Daphnia pulex: one gene and its partners. The protein of the gene in region 1 purifies or fractionates together with the protein of each later gene. This does not show direct contact. Links are inferred from orthologs where the notes say so. Each region holds a gene or a part of one and is shown in the gene's direction. Other genes may lie near its edges.

Region 1 (8,684 bases):
AGAGACGTTGCTTTCTCTATCACAACCAGTATTTCCAACTGGATATTTACAAAGAGCCTTGCCATCCGAGGTATACTTAGCAATTGGATTTTTTCCAACAGAAACACTTCACTATACCAAAAACGCTTTTCATAGATGCCACGGCCTAGTGTTGTTGGAAACGTATACGACGCAATCGTTGGAGGAATTCCAAGCTAATAAATTGCCCGATTTCCTTGACATTGTCGATAACGTGACGGGCGATCCGACCCACTCTATGTACAACCTTTCTCTTAAAGAGGAATGGTTAAATAATAAAAAATTCTGCTTCAAACTTGCAGGTAACGCAATATCCGATAACAAATATTTGGTATTTTTCTTGTGTGTGTTGTGGAAATCCTGGGAGGGTTTGTACCGTTCACAGGGGAGTTCACATACATTGTGGGGAAATATTGTGTAAGTTATAGTTACATATTAAAGGATCCATATTTTAAATTATTGACTCAGCTGAATTGCACGAGGAATTGGGCTGAGGTAAGGAACACCGAGCTTGATGGCTAATGATCGAGTCGGATGCATGCGTGTGTATCATAGGAGAATTTTCACCACAGAATTTATTTAGCAAATCACAATTTTTTCGTATCCTAGTATTTGTTCCTTATTTTCTACTTTTATTTTAAGTTTAAGTCTCGTAGAATTTGACTAATAATTTTTTTTTGTATCTGAATATCAAAAATCTGCAGCCGACGACGAAGATGACCTGACTGGAAGCCCTCGAACCAATGGCTGGATAGGACCACACGTTAATGGAGTTTAGTAGCGATTCTCAGCACATATGGTCAAGGGCACGTTAAGTAACCGACTATTAAATCTGATTCCTGTGAGTCTCAGTTCTTATTCAAGTTATTCTACTCTCACTATATCAACTCCCCCCCCCCCCCACATACAAAGGTAAAAGAAGAAATAAAGAAAGCAAGAATAGAAAAATTTTCTGGGAACACCTGACTCATGATAACTACGATTTTCTTACTGCTGCTTTGTAATAACTACAAAAGTTGCAATACGCTCGTGTTAAAGTTATTAGCTAGTCTACTAAATGATGATCGCCGATAAACTGTAGCATTTGGCCGTCAATACTTAAGCGACCGTGTTACAATTTCTTCATTTACCCTTTACAAGTGCATTATATCCCATGTAGTATTAAAATAACCTTCATTTTCTTAGACAAATACAATATTGTATTCTTGCAGTAATACAAATTCTGGAAATTTCAAGTGTATCATTTTAACATTTACAAGTTGAATTTAAGTTCAATGGTGCAGATTATGCCCCTTTACCTTTTTTTGCAGTGTAACAACTTTGACTGGTAGCAGAAATTGGTCTTTTTGTTGCATGAGAAGTGGTTTGAGATGTAATGACAGAGTCCTGATCATAATCAGAACTGCTTACACTTTGCTGATTTATTTCTTGATTTTGTTTCTTCTGCAAGAGCTCAGAGTCATGAGCAAAGACACAGTTTGACCCAAATCTGCACCTCCCTTTCCTATAGTTCCAGCAAATTTTTCTCCCATTGATTTCTTTGATGTCTTCAAGTTTGGGGGTGAATTTTACATGCTTTTCAAGTGTGCCCTTTTCTGCTTCCTCTGCTTCTTTGTATGGATTTGCAAACACAGATTTTCCTGACACTGAAGTCTCTGAACTGCGAAAAGGGTTTTTCAAGTTCTTTAAATGTTCATCTTGCAACGAAAAGTTATCTGCTTGATCGTTTTCTTCACTAAAAAATGAAATATTTAGAAATTTAAAAAATTCATAGAGAAATTTGTCATACCCACTACTACTATCATCAAAAACCTGAAAAAAATTATTTTTGATTTTTGATTTCACAGGATCTTCAGCAAGTTCTGTTTGTGTTGATTCTTTTGTTTCCGTTCCAGAACTTTCCGAGCTATCCGATCCATAACCCACCAACAAATTTAACGAAGTCATCTAATTTTTTATCGTAGAAGCTTAACGAGTGCTTAATTTAAACTAAAGAAATGGTGAATTATTTAAAATTTTAGTAGATCTCTTAACTGACTTGCAGAACAATGTGTAGTTGTGTTGTGTACTGTACATTGTTGCAGACGACATTACCCAAAACACAAGAGAAGTCATAGGGTTACCCAGCCCTCTGTTGAAAAAGTTTAGAGACAGGTTTTTTTTTTCAAAGATAAGTGATCAGTAGTTTATTAAATATCAAAGTGTAAATCGTGATTGTTATTAGTATAGATCAGTACCAGCAAAATTGCAATTCAATCAACGTGTAATCGGAAGTTTGAAAGTGCATACTATCTCGGATTTTTTTAAAGAAACTTGCACACAAGGATTTAAGAACTAATTAACTACAGTTTTATTCGAACGCATCGAAAAGTCATGAATAGCTCAGGTTCAGAACGTAATGTTAGGGCGGGATTCAAAGAGAAACGTCGAAACGATACAGACAAGAACACACCGAATGCACGACAGATTGGCCATCATTTAAATGTTTGTCCAGCCATAGGGCTAAGCAATGTGCAACTTAAAACACACAAAAAAAAAACACTGATGATTTTCTCAAACGCCTCCTCGGCGATATGGGTGGTATTGAGATTGCGACGGCTGGTGGTGGTGACCACCTCCTCGTTGAGGACCCGGTCCTCCAGGGCCAGCAGCTCCGGCTCCTGCTCCAGGAACACCAAGACCATTACCGGCAGGTGCAACGCCAGGTGGTGGGACTCTTTCTGGATTTCCATAGCCTAAAAAAATAACCATAATTATCATAAAGATCCTTTTTTGTAAAAACTAAATTAACAATCACCTTGTCCACCTCCATATCCTTGAGCGTTAGCTTCTTGGGCGTATCCTCCTCTGTATCCTTGGTTAACGTCCTTGGATAATAATAAAAAAAAAAACGATTGAATTCCTAAAAAAATGTAACATTTGACTCGCACAATTAACTTACTGTTCCATAGCCATTAGTTCCGTATCCAGCACCGTACTGAGCAGGTTCAGCTTTTACTCCAGGAACTCCAGGTCCAGTAGGGGCAGCTGCGCCCGGAGGACCACCATTAGTTGGGTTAGGACCTCTACCATACATATCGCCGTTGGGACCTGGGCCACCAGGTCCACCTCCTTGTGGGCCCGGTCCTCCCCAATTCCAGTTGTTGTATCCACCTTGTTGAGGTCCACCTTGAGGGCCTATATAGTTTAACACGTTCTTATTTTCATTCATCTACGCGGTATCAAAGACAATGTGATTCATGGAAAAACTTCTATTTAGAAAATCTCAGCCAATTTATCTTCGAAATATATCCTGGAGAAGAAACAATCACTTTATCAGCATACACTTTATTACCATAGCCATAATTAGCTCCTGGTCCTCCTCCATATCCTCCCCACTGCCCTTGTGGGCCCCATCCTTGATATCCACCTTGGGGTCCATATCCATATCCACCTTGATTGGCAGGTCCACCCCATCCTTGATAACCACCACCCATGGGAGGGCCCATCGGTCCACCCATTGGGCCACCCATAGGACCCATACCCTAAATGGCAAAAACGCAAAAAAAAAAAAAGAAAAAAGAAAAACACAAATCGATTATTTAAAATCTGTTTGTAACTTAAGTTTGAGCAAGAAAGCTTAGTGACTTACCCCATGCATTCCCATTCCCGGACCTTCCCATCCACCATTGTGTCCTCCACGTCTCATTCCACCAGATGATCCTCGAGTATCACGGGGCTCTGCTTTCTTGATTTCAACCTATGGTCCAAAAGAAATCTTTATTCCTTGTTTGATGACTAATGTTAATTCTAACATTAGAACGAATTATTATGCATTCATATTTTTTTAAAACAATAAAGAGAGCTCACCACCGACCTTAACTTGTTACATTATTGATAAGATTATCTATTGTTTTCTATGAGTTAATTACAATTACTATTTAGAAGACCAATAGATTGGTACAAAGACCAGCTTAACTCGACGGTTAGATACATTTTCTAAATAAACTTTAAAAATATATAAGATCAAGTGTCGGCGAGGTTTAAACAATGGTGAGCCCTGATTATTCATACTTCCGATTGCGTTTTTCACAAAGAGTAAGGGAGAGGGACATTGGTTGTTGTTTTGATGATAGAATACCTGCTTTCCATTGATTGAAACATAGTGTTCACCAGTGCAGCGATCCACCGACTCCTCCGATTCAAAGGTCAAAAAGCCAAAGCCTGTCCCAAGGTTTTCCAAATTGCTTATTACACTTTTTTTATACCACTTTTCTTTACATCTTTCTTTGATCTCATTAATAATCATTAGAAGAAATCTTGGGACAGGCCTGACTAAATTATTTTTCAACCATAACTTTTGACTGTAGATCTGATGAGATTGATACCGGATTCTAATACTTGAAGAGAAATAAATCTAATACATCGTTAAAAACTAGAGTTGTGATTATGAAAGAAATATTGACTCAACCCAATGGGTATGCCAATATTTAGTCAGATGTAAAACTTGTAAATCCACCCTCCCAAGTTCCTTAATGGCATATTATCTACTGTAATTCGCGGAAACTCTTTCACATGAGCAGTAGAAGTAAACGTGGATAGGAACTTAGCCATTTGCTTACCTATAGGAATAAAATAACCACACTATTAAAGTTAGCAAAGTTATCAAAAAAGGAATCCATCGAATCTTCGGAATATAACCACTTACACTTGCGTCATACGTTATGTAAGGACGTTCATAGTTTATTTACGCTGTTTTAATTAACTTTAATACCCACTAATTGAGGAAAGTGACTCACCTCGAGATTTTTTCTTTTCTTGGTCGTACATGATAACGACTTCAGAGACCTTTCCGTACTGCGAGAAGAAGTTACGAAGATCTGTTTCTGTCAAGTTTGATGGAAGCCCACCTAAAAATACTTTGTAACCATTTCCTGTACCCATACTCCGGCGAGGAGCGCGTACCATTTCGGCACGTGGATTACAAGGTTTGGGGTCAATCTGCATAAACATAAAAATATGAGATCATAAAAAACAACCAAAAATGTAGAAAGAAATCAAATATATATCTCAAGTTGAGATATAAACTTCAATTCCTTCCACTTCTATGTAGCAATACCGCGAAAGGAGATAAAATTATGTTAAACATTCTATCACCGCTCAGGTAGTGCAAATAAGAGTATGAAGAAAATATAAAAACTTACTGTGCGATTATCGAGTATATGGGGTGTGTTTTGTAGTACTAAACCAACATTGTTAGGATCAGCAAATGTAATGAACCCAAACCCTCTCGATCTACCAGTTTCTGGGTTCTTCATTACCACACAGTCAACAACTTCACCATACTGACTGAAATATCGAAGCAAATTATCGCGCGTCGTTTCCCAGCTTAAACCTCCGATGAACATTTTACTAAAAAAACAAGATTCGTACCAAAAAATAGTAAATGGACGCAAATCATGAAAAGCTTAGTGTACGGCGTCATGGATTTACATTCTCCCATGAACTTCACATGTCATATTATAAATGGAAAAAATTTCTTACCCTTGTTCATTCGAATTATCACCACCTTCTTTTCCAGGGAATTTTTGTTGAGAGGCCATTGTTCAGTTTAAATTGAATATAACAGTAAACGAATCTTTCAAATTTTCGAGGAGTGTTCGCACTGCGCTTGGGTTGGCTTCTTCAGTTGAGAAATGGGGGAAATGGCTGGCCCGGCATTTCAGTCAGTTTGCACCGTTGCCTGGACACTTTTTCTAGTTGAAAACTTGAAACTTAAATTATGAAATTATTACTTATAAAAAACTATGCTGTTTCTTTTACACATTCCAATAAAAAAATTTCTGAGTCTTAAAAAAATGATTGGATTTTGAAAAGAAAAGAAAACTCGCACTGAGGAATGAAGCGCTTTATTGAATAGTGTAGTCTAGCAACTGTTTAGCCCTAAGCGAAGCGAACATATGCATCTTGGCTTGTCGCACATTTTTGTGAAAAGTATATAAAAAAAGGTTACACGCTTCATCATGGCCCTCTGTTGTTCTCGTAATATTACATTTTCATTATAAATATCAATTTAAAACCAATCCATTCTTCTGAGAAATTTGATATTTAATGTCTTATATCTCTTGCTTATATAGTGTCGAACGAAGTTCCCGAACATCCTGTGGTCTCACCGGTGTCAGGATCTGTGTTTGAACGTCGGCTGATTGAAAAGTACATTGCTGATAACGGGGTAGATCCCATCAATGGGAAAGAAATAACTGTAGATCAACTTATTGAAATCAAAAGTAAGAAATTTTTTATCAAAGTTCCACAATGAATTTACATGTAATTGAAATTTTGTTTCTAGCCCCCCCAATTGTTAAGCCTAAAGTGCCATCTGCAACAAGCATTCCCGCCGTGCTTAAGTCTTTACAAGATGAATGGGATGCTGTCATGTTAAATTCCTTTACTTTGAGGCAACAATTACAAACTGCTCGACAAGAATTGAGGTATTGACCAACTTAATTACACATGGAATTATTGTGCAAACATTCTCTTTCTATTTGTAGTCATGCTCTCTACCAACATGATGCTGCTTGTCGTGTTATTGCACGCCTCCACAAGGAAGTGTCTACAGCACGGGAAGCACTTGCAACTCTTAAGCCCCAGACTGGCTATGCTGCTGTATCTACACCATCTGTTGCTGCCTCAGTAAGAAAGCATTATGATATTTATTTGTATGTTATTTATGATAAATTTACTGATTTGATGTAAGGCTGAAGCGGGTGGTGTGGCAGCACAACCGATCGAGGCAGCTGGATTAACTCCGGAAATCATATCACAATTACAAGATAAAGCCACTGTTCTTACTCAAGAACGAAAACGTAGAGGCAAAACCATGCCCGAAGGCTTAGCTACAGCAGAAGCTTTGAAGGGATATAAAACTTTGGCATCTCATCCGGTAATGACATATAATTTTGAAATGTTATCCCATCTTCATGGATTGATTACATATAGGCTTTGCACAGTGCAAGTATGCCCGGAATTTTGACCATGGACGTTCACGCCGCCGATACTTCTCATATTTTGACTGGAGGTAACGATCGATGCGCTACAGTTTTTAACAAGGACACTGAGCAGGTTGTTGCTGTTCTCAAGGGACATACAAAAAAAGTTACCAAGGTGCTTTATCATCCAGAAGAGGTAATTTCATGTTTTCTTTTAATTTTCTCTTGATTTACTTTGTTATATGATACTAATATACCCCTTGAATCTGTTATAGGAAGTCGCGATAACAGCATCTCCTGATGCGACGATTCGTGTTTGGAATATAACCGGCTCCTCACAATCTGCCATCATCCGTGCTCATGATGGCCCTGTCACAGGCTTGTCGCTCCACGCAACCGGAGAATATGTTTTGTCGACGTCACTGGATCAACACTGGGCATTTTCAGACATTCGCGTTGGGCGGTTGTTGACAAAGGTTGCCGACACAGACGGAAATCCGCTTACGACAGCCCAGTTCCATCCAGATGGTCTCATTTTCGGCACTGGAACACAAGATTCACAGATCAAAATTTGGGATTTAAAAGAACAATCTAACGTGGCCAACTTTCCAGGTTTGGCTCTTTTAAAATAATCTTGTGATAAACATTAGCTTTACTATTACCATTTTTACAATTACAGGTCATTCCGGTCCTATTGCGGCTTTGTCATTTTCAGAAAATGGTTACTATTTGGCTACAGCGGCAGAAGACTCTTGCGTCAAATTGTGGGATTTACGGAAATTGAAGAATTTTAAAACAATTCAGCTCGACGAAGGATACGAAGTTAAGGACTTGTGCTTCGATCAAAGCGGCACCTACCTTGCTGTGGCTGGTACCGACGTGCGTGTTTATCTCTGCAAGCAATGGGAAACTCTTAAGACTTTTAACGACCATACAGCATTGGCTATGGGAGTCCGTTTCGGCAACCATGCGCAGTCGATAGCGTCTGTGAGTATGGATCGTACGCTGAAAATTTATGGCATCGAGTGATTCACTGTATTCAATGTTGAGAGGGGATTTTTAAATGAACATTTTTCGTCTTATCCTTTTTTTTGCTGTAAGGTGTGCAAACCGCATCGAACTCTCGCCCTCACAAAAATACACGCGTTTCATTTTTCCCATCAAAAACAATTCTACGAGTGTATATCGATAGTTAAGTTTCCCGCGTTACTATCGATACATTAAATAAAACAAAAAGCTTCGAAATTTTGTCACTAGTGGCGTGGCAGTTCGCTTGGCATTTTCGCTTTCTTGAAGCATATCCCAATGGCGGCTTAGGCAATCGATGCATCGGCCGCTCCTTCGTACAGGGGTTTATGTATTTGGCCTAAAATGCCGGTCGACTCTTGTAAACAAGGAATAGTGAGATCATACTACGTTAATTTCAAATTTCATAGTTCAAATTCTTCATATTGGATTGCTATCCTGAATCAAGATTTTTCCAGATAAAGTACGAGGTAAGTCGCCCAAAAACAGTTCCTTCAACCGTCGCTTCTATCAAGTTGCATTGTTGCATCTTTTGTAATTGGAAGCGTGGTTTTGTTGAATGAATAAAATTTTCTGCCCTTCAAAAAATTTGTCTTCTTTAATTTGACGCATTTTTTTTTCTCCCTAAAGAGTTGACACAACTACTTTAATTAGCTTACACATTAATCAGAA
Region 2 (2,964 bases), on another chromosome or scaffold:
ATACGTCCACCACGACACATGTTACCATAGGCACCCTGACCGGAGCGATGGGTACCACCTCCTCGGACACGGGGAATACGAGCCACAGCACGACCAGTACCCCATGATTCAGCACTTGTCTGATGACCTGTAATAGGAAAGAAGAAGATTAACAATCACACCATTACATGTGTGTATGAAGTTTGTCCGGTTGCCCAACCCCTCACTTTAAGAAAACAAAGCGAGAAAGGCCTCAGGGACTCGCTTTAGTGTTGCACACTGCACAAGAAGAGTCTGACGTACAATTACTCCTACATTTCAATGCTGTGTGCCATATAATTGGCATACAAGTTACCTGCTTTCTCGCTGACACAATAAGGGTGACGACGATTCATTGACATTTGTTGTTGAACAAAGCTGACAATGTCTGGCCTAATGGGAGCCCTGAAGATTGCAGGGAGCTGGATGCTGGTTCCAGAGGCCTCAGCCTTCTCATTGTAAACGGTAATCAACGGCCTCGCGACCACCTTACTCTGTAAAACAAAATGGATAAACAAATTAGATTTAAGATTTTCAAGAGACAACACTTGAATTTACACAAACTTTGAACTAGATGTACCAATTAACCAAAACATAACAATAAACCAAGAACGACGTTGAATTAACATAGAAAAACAGCAAGAGCCCATTTGACACGAGGACGAAACCACGCTGTGGGTAACATTTTACTCCCAAACTTTCGCCATAGATTAACAAGAAAATGGCTTAGAAAAATATACGCACGCAAGAATTTTCTTAAAACACGTTTCTCCCGTTAACCTTTTTACTTACTATTCGTAAATTAATGTATGTAAAAACTAGTAAAATGTTTGGAGAACCTCATGCTTACCATCTTGGTAGATAGTCCTGACCGGGTAAAAAGGCGAATGAAAGAGACCCACAGTAATGGCGACAAAGAGGAAGTCTACAATGTTGCCGGCATACTTTGAGAATTGCCGCCCTCTACGTTCCGTTTTTTACTTGATTATTTACTTGAAAAATTACAGATTATTCACTGAACTGATCCACTGTTTAATAACAAAAATTATGGAGTTTCAATTGATGATTTCAAACATTTTAATGGAGTGATTAGTTATAAAATTTTTAATATTGTTTTATTTGTTTCACAATGCAACGGTGTCCAAAATATTATTGAATAAAATTTAATATACCAATTTATTTTCATATTTTATTCATTTAAAGGAAGTTAATGATCTTTATTCATTATCAAAAAGTAAGTTTATGAATAATTAGACATAATGAAAATCAATTACTAAAACTGTGGCTCATATTTATTAATCCAGCAGAAAATCTGACAATCTTGCTGACAACAGACAGTTTGACACAAATCACAAAATGCCGATTCCGTCAACAAACATTTCCACGCCGAACGAAAGGATTTTGGTTGACGATTTACCATACGTTGACCAAGAATATGGAGATCCAACTCTACGAGAAGCGGTAAGCAAAACTTATACATTGCAAACTTTGAAATATTTGAATCGCTTCGAATTGAGGCTTGGAGATTCTTGTGTTAGCCTAGTCATCTCTAACATCAATACATTATTGTACTAGACCATAGTACTGTATGTTGCTGAGAACTCTCGCTCTTGTCCAATAGTTGTTTAATGAGAGTAATTTCTTTCTATCAGGCACTTGCATTGGTTGATGAAGAGACACGAAGATATAGACCAACCAAAAACTACCTAGAACATCTTCCTCCACTTGAGCTGTCAGCATTTGAAGTAAGAACTGTCTGCATGGAAGTAATGATAGGAGTGTGTAATAATTATGGAAATTATCATGTTCATAGACTCCTTTGATGAAGACTGAATTTGAGCGACTGTCTCAAAAGAAACCAATGGATGTTTTGAGCATGAAACGATATGAACTCCCACCCCCATCTGCTGGTCGTCTAAATGATCTTCAAGCATGGATAGAGTGTGTTGATAATTCAATGGCTCAATTAGAACATCAAACAACAAGGTTTGTTTTCTAAAAAAAAATTTTACAGCAACCATAAATTTAAAAAAATTTCAATTAAAAAACAGGATTTTGAACTTGGAATTAATGTCAGAGTATGGTTGTGAATCATGGAGAATTTATAACACTGTATTGTCCCAGATGATCCAACAATCTCAGAAGCATCTTCAGGAATTTAAGTATGATTTCAGTAAAGTAGACACCATATTGCAAAATACACTATTATATTTTTCTTTACAGGAAACAAATCCAAGATGTCAATTGGGCTAGAAAAAAAGATCAGACAGAGGTTGGAGACAAAATGAAACATTTGGAAGCCACTTGGTTTGGTTTGATCACTAAAAACTACGAAATCGAACTCGCGTGTGCTGAAATTGAGAGACAGTTAGCTTCACTTAATGAATGAAATTCAATGTAAACCTACTTTATCGAATTCGGATAATACACTGCAACAGGAAATTGATTCATCCGAGATTTTCAGTAAGTGACAACCAAAAAGATTTGGTTGTAAGGGAACAAAACAAAAAAATAGTATAAAGTCATGCACTTTCAGATTAGCTTGTCTTATAAATGGTAAGTAGCACGTTCTGATTTTATATATCACACAATTGAAAACGAGAAGAAGCGTATGAGTACAGCAAAGCGTAATTCAGAGAAGGGTAAAAAAAAGGGTAAGATCATAGGGAAGTCTCACTTGGGGCTGAACTTAAAGGTAAAGGGCGGACGGAAGACTCATCTTCCAGCACCATAACTCGTTGCTTTAGGACGCGAACCTGATAATCACATGACATTTTTATGTCGGTCACACTTGATAACTCGTAATTTTTCTCTATATACCTGCATTGCATGTCTTTCCGACATGTTGACCATTTGCTGCTCTAGTCTTTTTAATCGAGATTGGTACTTTTTCTTAGTCCTCTCAAGAAGTTGGACCAACGTCCTGAAAATTAGTTTACGGATATT
Region 3 (4,040 bases), on another chromosome or scaffold:
CATGTATTAGCAACTGGCGTTTTGGTGTAGCGGAATTGTGGATAATATATCCAAATTATTCAGTTTAGGAGGTTTTCCCATCTAGGTATCTCGGGCAATCTGCCTTAGTAGAACTATGGAAACATGTTCACAGATTGTATGGTTCCATTTTTGGGTTTATTTTTGTGGGCGGACCGGCGGAGTGCTTGCGGTCACGTGATGATGGAAACTCGATTCAGAATCATGTCGTGTGTATCAGACTTTGCCGCGTTTTGTTTGTTTATTTTTTTGCATGTGCTAACGATAAAAAGGCCTATCCTTAAGCTGAGTTAAGCATGAAGGACGAAACAGTATGAGTTTTTTGGCGCAAAAAATTTAGCTAACTAAAGTAAAATTTTGTTATGGTCTTAAAGTAGAGAGCTAGAGACACCGTCTCAACTTTCAGACGATAAATACATCAAGATTAAAGACATTCCTAATCCTAAGAAACCATTAATTTCAATTAATTCAATAATTGAATTCTACGCCATCAAGAGGCCAAATAATATCGAACAGTTTTTTTTTACTTTGTTTTGGTTTGTCTGCAAGTAGAAGTTGAAATCCAAGCTGATTTTTGAAAACCACAATAACATTAACCGAACTTAACCGCATCAGCAATGTATTTAAGAAAAGGCCGAAAAGGCTTTGTAAGAAAGAAAGGAACTAATTTATTTATTTACCAATATTTGGGACTTGGATGTAATTGAAAGATGCTGTACAACTTGAATCTTTTGAGATGCAGTAATGAAATAAATCTTACCGTATAAAATATGTTTACCATATATTAAACCTTGTCAAAAATGCACGTAGAAATTCCCCCTTAGTCTCATTTGAAACCTAATTATGTCTATTTTTATGTAGTATTTATAGTTTTTTTTCCTTAAAGAGCATTAATTTAAATGTTATAAGTTACCTACTACCTACTTACTAGACTCCACTTTCAAGAAATTTAATGAAAAATATCAGCGCCAAACCCATTAAAATCCAATAAGCAATAAGCAACAAGCAAACTAAAGGGCCGGGGGTCTAGTATTACGATTATAATATTTAAAACAATATAAAAAGTAAAAACTGATACAAATTGGTTGGGGCCAAAACGCTGTTTTTGACTGTAGTGACTATTTACTTTTATATATGTCTGATTCTGATCTGGTATTGATTCGTCTGCTTTTTTAAATTTAGTTTTATTTCTAGTTGCCAAATATATATTTTGTTGCTAGCCTATTTACGGCTCAAAAAAAATTTATGAAATTGGTCAGATAAATTAGAAATTACAAAATCCCGCTGTTTTTCCTAAAATCTCAATCCCATCTCATCCCACAATACCCGTTTTTTAAAACGGGTATTTTCAATTTTAAAAACTTGAAAATTTCAAAAGTGGGAAAATCCCACCAAAGACCAAAGTGGCAGCCCTGCCGAGCAATAGATAGACAGTAATGGACTAATGGCCGACAGCTAAGACGCTCGACCGAGAAGCTTTTTGAAAGGTCCATGCTCATTGAAATATTTGTGAAATGACGCAGTTTTTGCCTCCAAATCTTTTGGCTCTTTTTGCGCCACGCGATCCCCCTCCATTTTTACCACCACCTGATAAATTGACTCATGAAAAAAAAAGAACGCCATACATTGGTATAGCGCAGTATACAAATCTGTTTGAGGTTAGTATTTGATTCCATTAAAAATTAAAAATTGATATAGTAGTCAAGGTAAGTATTGCAATTTGATCTAATTTGATTGATTTGGGAAGTAATGTATGTCTTAATTTACTAATGCACGGGTCCCAATCCCAATTTATGGAACAGTTTTGGTTCATTTATTCATTCTCCTCTAGATGTGTCGATGAGAATCCCAAGTTTTCATGTGTGACATGTGAGATGCAAAATATTTTGTGAAAATGTTGTGAAAGTGTCTTAATTTTCTGGAAGCACAGTGTTTCCAGCTGAGCCTTTTATCAGGTTGACAATTTAATGTTAGCATATGTCTGAGGGGTGTAAAGTAGTCATTGTTTCACAAAGTTTTAAATGAGAGATGTGGAACGAAACATTGCATACTAGAAGCATTCTGATGAACTAAGTACTGAGCTTTCAAACATAACGAAATTTTTAATATCATTTTATATTCTTAACAGGATCCTAAAGATACACCCCCTCCTACGCGAGCAGAAACACGGGATGAACGGCGCGAAAGAAAACGTCGCGAAAAGGCAGAACAAGTTGCCTATAAACTTGAACAGGAAATTGCAATGTGTAAGTTCTAATTTTTGGTGTGTTTCTACAATTTCTTTTATCAATTTCCCTTTTCTCTGGCATTCATAGGGGATCCACACAGTAATGGTGTTTCTACCATGGACCCCTTCAAAACGCTGTTCGTTGCTCGCATTGTAAGTGTCAATACTCATACTATAATTTTTTTTTCTCATCACTTTTATTTTATTTCGAGCTTAATGAATAATGAGTGCTAAGTTATAACTAGTAATCCGCATGAATGAAACGATAATTCTTGAAACATTTTCTCTCAGAATTTTGATACTTCGGAATCTAAATTGCGCAGGGAGTTTGAAGTGTACGGAGTTGTTCGGAAGGTAACTTACAAGCACCATGTGAAATTTAATCACACGCTTACCACGCTTTTTAATGTTACAGATTGTGTTGGTGCATGACAAGAGGACTAGTAAGCCACGCGGTTATGCATTCATCGAGTATGAACATGAGCGAGACATGCATTGTAAGTATTTCTTTTCTATTATACCTAAGTCGTGTGGTAACTGAGGGTAGTGGGCTAATTAGTAAGGCCTGCGATAGCTTTCACTGTTCAATTAATCGTCGCACCACCAATTTGTATGATGATGAAAGGGGTGGGGGTGAGGTGGGGAAAATCTGTGATTGATTTGTACCTTAAAGTTTTCCTATATTTCATTTTGTCGTTTCCGGTCACAGTCGCGGCCTCCGACTATTTGGACGGTCATGTGGCCTTTGTCGCTTTTTGTCTCTTGATGCTAGGTTTGTATGGTCAATTGGTAAGGTTTCGTTTGGTTAAAGTTAAACCAAAATCCCTTTGAAATCGACTGCAGGTTCAAATTAGCTTCAAAGAAAGTATCTTTTCGTTTTCACCCTCCCTTCCCCTTGATGGTAGTAAGTATCCTGGTAAGTCGGTTACTAGGCTTTCTAGCGCCACTAAAAATTAGGGCCATTTCAATTCGATCAGATTCTTCGAGTGCTGCTGCGCGTTAAGAGGATTCACAGGTAAAGATGGGGACAGCTTGAAGAGGGAATGGATCTGCTTCTGTGATTGGCAACATTTGATCGCTTATTAATAGATCTGGATGTTACGTGAACATAGCCGTAATCTGGTAAACGGCCGTGGCGTTGGTTTTTTATGCATTTTCCAAGTGTTATGATTGGTCATACTTGAAATCATTGCATTTTTCGTTATTTGTTAATTCACGGTAAATATTTTTCGAAATTGCTGGGAGGGGTAGGTAATGGAGATCCTTCGGTAGGTGATATTAGGTTTGTGATACTAATTGTTGGAACTCTCCTTCTCCATGTTATACACGCTGAATTTTTCGTCTTCTCTGCCTGCTGTACTACCCGTATTTACGATTTGTTCGTTTTGCCGACGGCGCCGAAATACTGGTTTGTTGTTTTAAAATACCAGCTGCGTACAAACACGCCGACGGAAAGAAAATAGACGGCCGCAGAGTTCTTGTAGACGTAGAAAGGGCAAGGACTGTCAAAGGTAATTATTTTAATTAAATAAGTTTTATGTTTATAGTTTGCTGCCCTTTTTTTCGAAGGCAAATTTTAAAATTTGTTTTGAAAATCCATAGGTTTTTTATTTTGATTAATCAGTGTAAATAAGTGCACAAAATTTTTTTCTTCTTGTTAGATATTATAATCATGCCGCCATGGTTTCTAAGTACCTAAACTATTGCATTCCAGGTTGGCTTCCTCGCCGTTTGGGTGGAGGCTTGGGTGGGACTCGTCGTGGAGGACCAGATGTAAACGTAAAACATTCAGGAC
Region 4 (4,237 bases), about 1.0 Mb from region 1:
ATTACTCTCCACAGCTGGAAAGTGCGTCGTAAAAATGAACCCTTTTAATTGCTCATGTGATGATTTGTCGTCGGTTTCTCGAGAAATATCATTCGTAGCTTAGAATCATTACTTTTTCAAGTTTCAATTCCTTCAGGCATTTTTAATACGGTGTGATATTAAATAGCCTCCTATTATTATTCCATTTAAATATGAATTTTACCCTAAAACCACAAACGACACCGGAAAACTTATTCCTCTTGGTATAACACCATTTATAAAAACTTTCTTAAAAATTTCTCTAATTGAAAACGAGGGTTAACCGAGGGAATATTTTAAGAACGAGTGCCAGTGTGGCGACCAAGGACCCTCTTTCGTCATAAAATTTTTCTAGTTGCACTTTGCTTTAAGTGTTTGAAGTTGAAATATTTTTGAATTGGACTTTTTACCTATAGACAAAGTTGTGAGGTACAAAACAGGGCCTGAACTGCAGCCGTTCTACAAATGAGCAACCACTTTTTCAAACCCTGACCGAGTAAACAAAAACGGCAAGAGAAAACCGTTCCGGTCAACCGCATAGCTCAGGAATAATCGTACTCAAAAATTTATAATCAACGCCAAGTAACAGTCAAAAAGGAAGAATTTAGATAAATGTTTTTCTACCTTAAAGCCTTTAAGTCCACGTTCACATGGGTGTAAAGAGGACATTCCAAGAAAGGGGAAGAAATTCGGTCGACATCGGTGATAGTCTCTCCAATCAAACGGGATGCTATAAATCCTATCTAAATAAAAATCAAATATGAAATATGAGTTACGAAAAATATTTACAGAAACAATTAGTGATAAATAGAAAACAAGACAGCAGATGAATCCTATTTATTAATGGACAAGAGAATGTAAGAATTCCCTGTAACACTCTGCAAGTGATGGCTATTTAAAACATCTAACAGGTTAATAAAAGTAACGAAAATCATTACCTGAGTGATGATACTAAGATTGTTGCTGATGACACTGTGAATACTGGCACAAGCAAAACTTGCATATGTTGTGGTTTGATGGTTGGCTCTGGCCTCAAATCTGCACAAAGATGAGAATGTTACATAGTGCTCACAAACACACATGCAATAGCAACACTTATCATGTAAGCCCCTTATTACATGATACATGCTAGTCAGTCATTCTATTTGAATTTATGGGGTTTTTTTACCTGCTAAAGCAGCATGTGTATGTGCATTAAGCGATTCTATAAAGACACGCGACCGGCGACCAGAGTTGACACGGCAATCACATTTTTGTTTTTAATTTTTAGTGCTATTTTTCGTGCAGCAACGTAACGTTTCCCCCCAAAAATCTTTGTCTCTTTTTCTTTTTCGAAACTTTCAAACAAAACGAAAGCAGACAACACTAATCATAAAATCGACCCATCGAGTTTCATTACTTATGGCCAGATGGCGTTTTTATTCTGATATTCCTAACGGTAGATGACTCTATTTTCATGTTTGACACATCGTGTTTTTTAAAAAGTTGAAAGTTCCAAAAGATCTCTTCAAATTTTGTTTATGCTGGTTCATTATTTAATTTAATCGAATATCTGCAATGGATGTCGGTGAACTTTTATCTTTTAAGGTGTGTAAATCAGTTTGTATTAACACTTCTTTAGCTATAAGTCCATTAAGGGGAAACAGAAGCATTGGATGTTATGGGATTGCATGGAGCATATATTGCAATGGCATTTGTTGGATTATTTTGAAAGCTTTCATTTGTTTTATTATGATTAATCACTACTTTCTTGTTACAGCCAAAACAAAACCCCAAACGAGATGTTGCAGATGATGATAAAGAGCCAGAGTTTGAACGTCCCGGAAAGAAACTTAAACAGTTTCCAACCAGTAATGTAAAGCCAAACCCAAGATCAACAGCCACATATATTGCTCCCCCAGTTGTTGAAACTCCAGAAAAAGAAGAATTGCTCAAATTGGTAGAGCAAGATGAAGGTTCTGAAAGCCTTGATGAAGCCTCCCTAAAGAGAATGATTCTAAATTTTGAAAAGCGGGTTCTGAAAAATCAAGAACTACGTGTTAAATTTCCAGATGCGCCAGAGAAGTATGATTCCTATCCTCTGCTTGTTTTGTCATCATTCTTCATAATAGTTTTTATTTTATCTTTTAGGTTTATGGAATCAGAATTGGAATTGCATGAAGCAATTCAACTGATGCATGCACTTGCAACAGCTCCTGAACTATACACAGTAGGTGTTGAACAAAAGCTTATACCAACATTGCTAGGTCTATTGTCACATGACAATGCAGACATTTCTGTCGCTGTGGTCAATTTGCTTCAAGAATTGACTGACATTGATACTCTGAATGAAAGTCAAGATGAAGCTGCAATTCTAATTGATGCACTCCTGGACCAGCAAATCTGTGCCCTCCTAGTCCACAACCTGGAAAGACTAAACGAAGCTCAAACAGAAGAATCTGACGGAGTTCACAATACACTAGGTATAGACGATCATTTATGTTTCTATAATTCATAAGTACCCAGTTTTTGTTCACAAAATAATTTGTTCTTTCAGCCATTGTGGAAAACTTAACGGAAATTAGGCCTGAAGTGTGTCAACAAGCAGCCCAACAGGGGTTGCTGAGTTGGATAATGAAGCGGCTAAGAGCTAAATTACCATTCGACGCCAACAAACTATATTGCAGTGAAATATTGTCCATTTTGCTTCAAGGCACACCAGAAAATCGGCAACTTCTGGGTGAAATTGACGGAATTGATATTTTGCTTCAACAGTTAGCCGTAAGAAAACGTTTTTCTTCATTCATTTTTCATTTGTGTAAAAGTGCAAGTCATTTTTTTAATTATTTTCTCGCAGATTTTCAAGCGGCAAGATCCCAAAACAGGAGAAGAACAAGAAATGATGGAGAATTTGTTCGATTGTGTTTGTTCCAGTCTGATTCACGTTCCCAACCGCGACAGATTTCTGAAGGGAGAGGGCTTGCAACTTATGAACCTCATGTTGCGGTATTGTTGAAATTCCCACGATCCGGCTTGCTACCATTCATATTGTTGATCTTGAAGCCTGACCCGTTTTTTTCCCCACTTTCTTTACAGAGAGAAAAAAATGTCCAGAAATGGCGCGTTAAAGGTTTTGAATCACGCACTTAGTGGTGAGGCCGGTAAAGATAATTGCACCAAATTTGTGGACATCCTCGGCTTAAGGACTATTTTTCCGCTATTCATGAAAACGCCGCATAAACTGAAGAGAAAGGGGATGTCAGCAGAAGAGTATGAAGGTAAATATAAAATATAGTGCAAATACTGATGTGCATCACAAATTTATAAAACGTGACCCGTGTAAATCGTTTTTTTAGAACATATAGTCTCGGTGATTGCAAGTATGCTAAAGTCGTGCCGAGGATCACAGCGCACCAGACTTCTGACGAAGTTTACAGAAAACGACCACGAAAAAACCGATCGACTGATGGAGTTGCACTTCAAATACTTCGACAAATTACGCGTGATTGACGCTCAACTCCAGCGGAACGACGACGAAGAGGACGAGGACGAAATGTACCTTAAACGTCTGGAAGGTGGATTGTTCACGCTTCAGCTGGTGGACTACATTATGATGGAAGTTTGCGCCTCAGGAGCCGCAACCATCAAGCAGCGCGTTTTGCATACGCTCAATTTGAGAGGAGGCACAGTCAAGACAATTCGTGAAATAATGAGAGGTAAATATTTTCGCTTTTCGTCCAATCGTAAAGCCCTTGTCCAAGTTAAACTAATATTTATTTGGTCCTTCGCGCAGAGTACGCAGGAAATCTTGGCGATGGCAGTGAAAGCGAAGCGAAAGAAGAAGAGAAACAACACATCCTTCAGCTCTTGGACAAGTTTTAAGATCACTCAGCAGTCGTAACTACAATACAAATTTTCCAATCGAGACTTTTTGTATCGAGCAAGTTGCAACATTCTTTCGAAGCAGACACGCATACCTCCGTTTGATCTTCTATTTCGAGAAATGAGGGGTCGTGGTTATACGTACGTTTTATAGACGCACTTTCCAGGATTTGCCATAAAGAGACTGAGACTAAACGCAGACTAATAGCCCTTTTTCCTTGATGGGGGTCGTTCCAGTTAATATGACTTTCGACAGTTATTCCTCCGAAAACTGAGCTTCTCAATTACTGTGCAACCAGCATACATTTTTTTATGTTTTACAATGTTCTCTAAAACTTCGGCCAGGTGCATGGGCCGA

What was found.
Region 2: the proteins of pre-mRNA-processing factor 19-like (region 1) and pre-mRNA-splicing factor SPF27-like purify together in Homo sapiens (co-immunoprecipitation; 10 studies listed by BioGRID and IntAct, counting the BioPlex papers as one, with this or other methods). This does not show direct contact. The link is inferred for Daphnia pulex from reciprocal best matches to the Homo sapiens genes PRPF19 and BCAS2.
Region 3: the proteins of pre-mRNA-processing factor 19-like (region 1) and U1 small nuclear ribonucleoprotein 70 kDa-like fractionate together in Homo sapiens (co-fractionation; 3 studies listed by BioGRID, with this or other methods). This does not show direct contact. The link is inferred for Daphnia pulex from reciprocal best matches to the Homo sapiens genes PRPF19 and SNRNP70.
Region 4: the proteins of pre-mRNA-processing factor 19-like (region 1) and beta-catenin-like protein 1 purify together in Homo sapiens (affinity purification with mass spectrometry; 4 studies listed by BioGRID and IntAct, counting the BioPlex papers as one, with this or other methods). This does not show direct contact. The link is inferred for Daphnia pulex from reciprocal best matches to the Homo sapiens genes PRPF19 and CTNNBL1.

What each region holds. Positions count from the first base shown.
Region 1 is NC_060022.1:3,389,543-3,398,226, forward strand, and holds pre-mRNA-processing factor 19-like, read left to right. Parts: upstream 1-5,907; 5' UTR 5,908-6,020; coding exon 6,021-6,039; intron 6,040-6,134; coding exon 6,135-6,284; intron 6,285-6,346; coding exon 6,347-6,488; intron 6,489-6,548; coding exon 6,549-6,690; intron 6,691-6,754; coding exon 6,755-6,940; intron 6,941-6,996; coding exon 6,997-7,182; intron 7,183-7,261; coding exon 7,262-7,598; intron 7,599-7,665; coding exon 7,666-8,015; 3' UTR 8,016-8,153; downstream 8,154-8,684. Other genes in the region: TRPL translocation defect protein 14-like, read left to right, coding at 1-70, 136-320, 723-796; uncharacterized protein LOC124195731, read right to left, coding at 1,303-1,753, 1,808-1,965; heterogeneous nuclear ribonucleoprotein 27C-like, read right to left, coding at 2,572-2,753, 2,816-2,885, 2,960-3,195, 3,353-3,542, 3,650-3,757, 4,139-4,221, 4,797-4,998, 5,202-5,409 and 1 more. UniProt on the Homo sapiens protein: Ubiquitin-protein ligase which is a core component of several complexes mainly involved pre-mRNA splicing and DNA repair. Required for pre-mRNA splicing as component of the spliceosome.
Region 2 is NC_060018.1:4,114,108-4,117,071, reverse strand, and holds pre-mRNA-splicing factor SPF27-like, read left to right. Parts: upstream 1-1,191; 5' UTR 1,192-1,252; intron 1,253-1,322; 5' UTR 1,323-1,374; coding exon 1,375-1,479; intron 1,480-1,670; coding exon 1,671-1,763; intron 1,764-1,831; coding exon 1,832-2,004; intron 2,005-2,069; coding exon 2,070-2,180; intron 2,181-2,241; coding exon 2,242-2,407; 3' UTR 2,408-2,464; downstream 2,465-2,964. Other genes in the region: uncharacterized protein LOC124189006, read right to left, coding at 1-127, 335-512, 1,436-1,467, 2,696-2,774, 2,839-2,941. UniProt on the Homo sapiens protein: Required for pre-mRNA splicing as component of the activated spliceosome. Component of the PRP19-CDC5L complex that forms an integral part of the spliceosome and is required for activating pre-mRNA splicing.
Region 3 is NC_060026.1:6,141,064-6,145,103, reverse strand, and holds the start of U1 small nuclear ribonucleoprotein 70 kDa-like, read left to right. Parts: upstream 1-1,240; 5' UTR 1,241-1,532; coding exon 1,533-1,676; intron 1,677-2,146; coding exon 2,147-2,264; intron 2,265-2,333; coding exon 2,334-2,398; intron 2,399-2,536; coding exon 2,537-2,599; intron 2,600-2,660; coding exon 2,661-2,742; intron 2,743-3,675; coding exon 3,676-3,756; intron 3,757-3,959; coding exon 3,960-4,040. UniProt on the Homo sapiens protein: Component of the spliceosomal U1 snRNP, which is essential for recognition of the pre-mRNA 5' splice-site and the subsequent assembly of the spliceosome. SNRNP70 binds to the loop I region of U1-snRNA.
Region 4 is NC_060022.1:2,351,930-2,356,166, reverse strand, and holds beta-catenin-like protein 1, read left to right. Parts: upstream 1-1,437; 5' UTR 1,438-1,575; coding exon 1,576-1,605; intron 1,606-1,777; coding exon 1,778-2,082; intron 2,083-2,148; coding exon 2,149-2,480; intron 2,481-2,554; coding exon 2,555-2,778; intron 2,779-2,854; coding exon 2,855-3,003; intron 3,004-3,093; coding exon 3,094-3,275; intron 3,276-3,353; coding exon 3,354-3,713; intron 3,714-3,790; coding exon 3,791-3,879; 3' UTR 3,880-3,924; downstream 3,925-4,237. UniProt on the Homo sapiens protein: Component of the PRP19-CDC5L complex that forms an integral part of the spliceosome and is required for activating pre-mRNA splicing.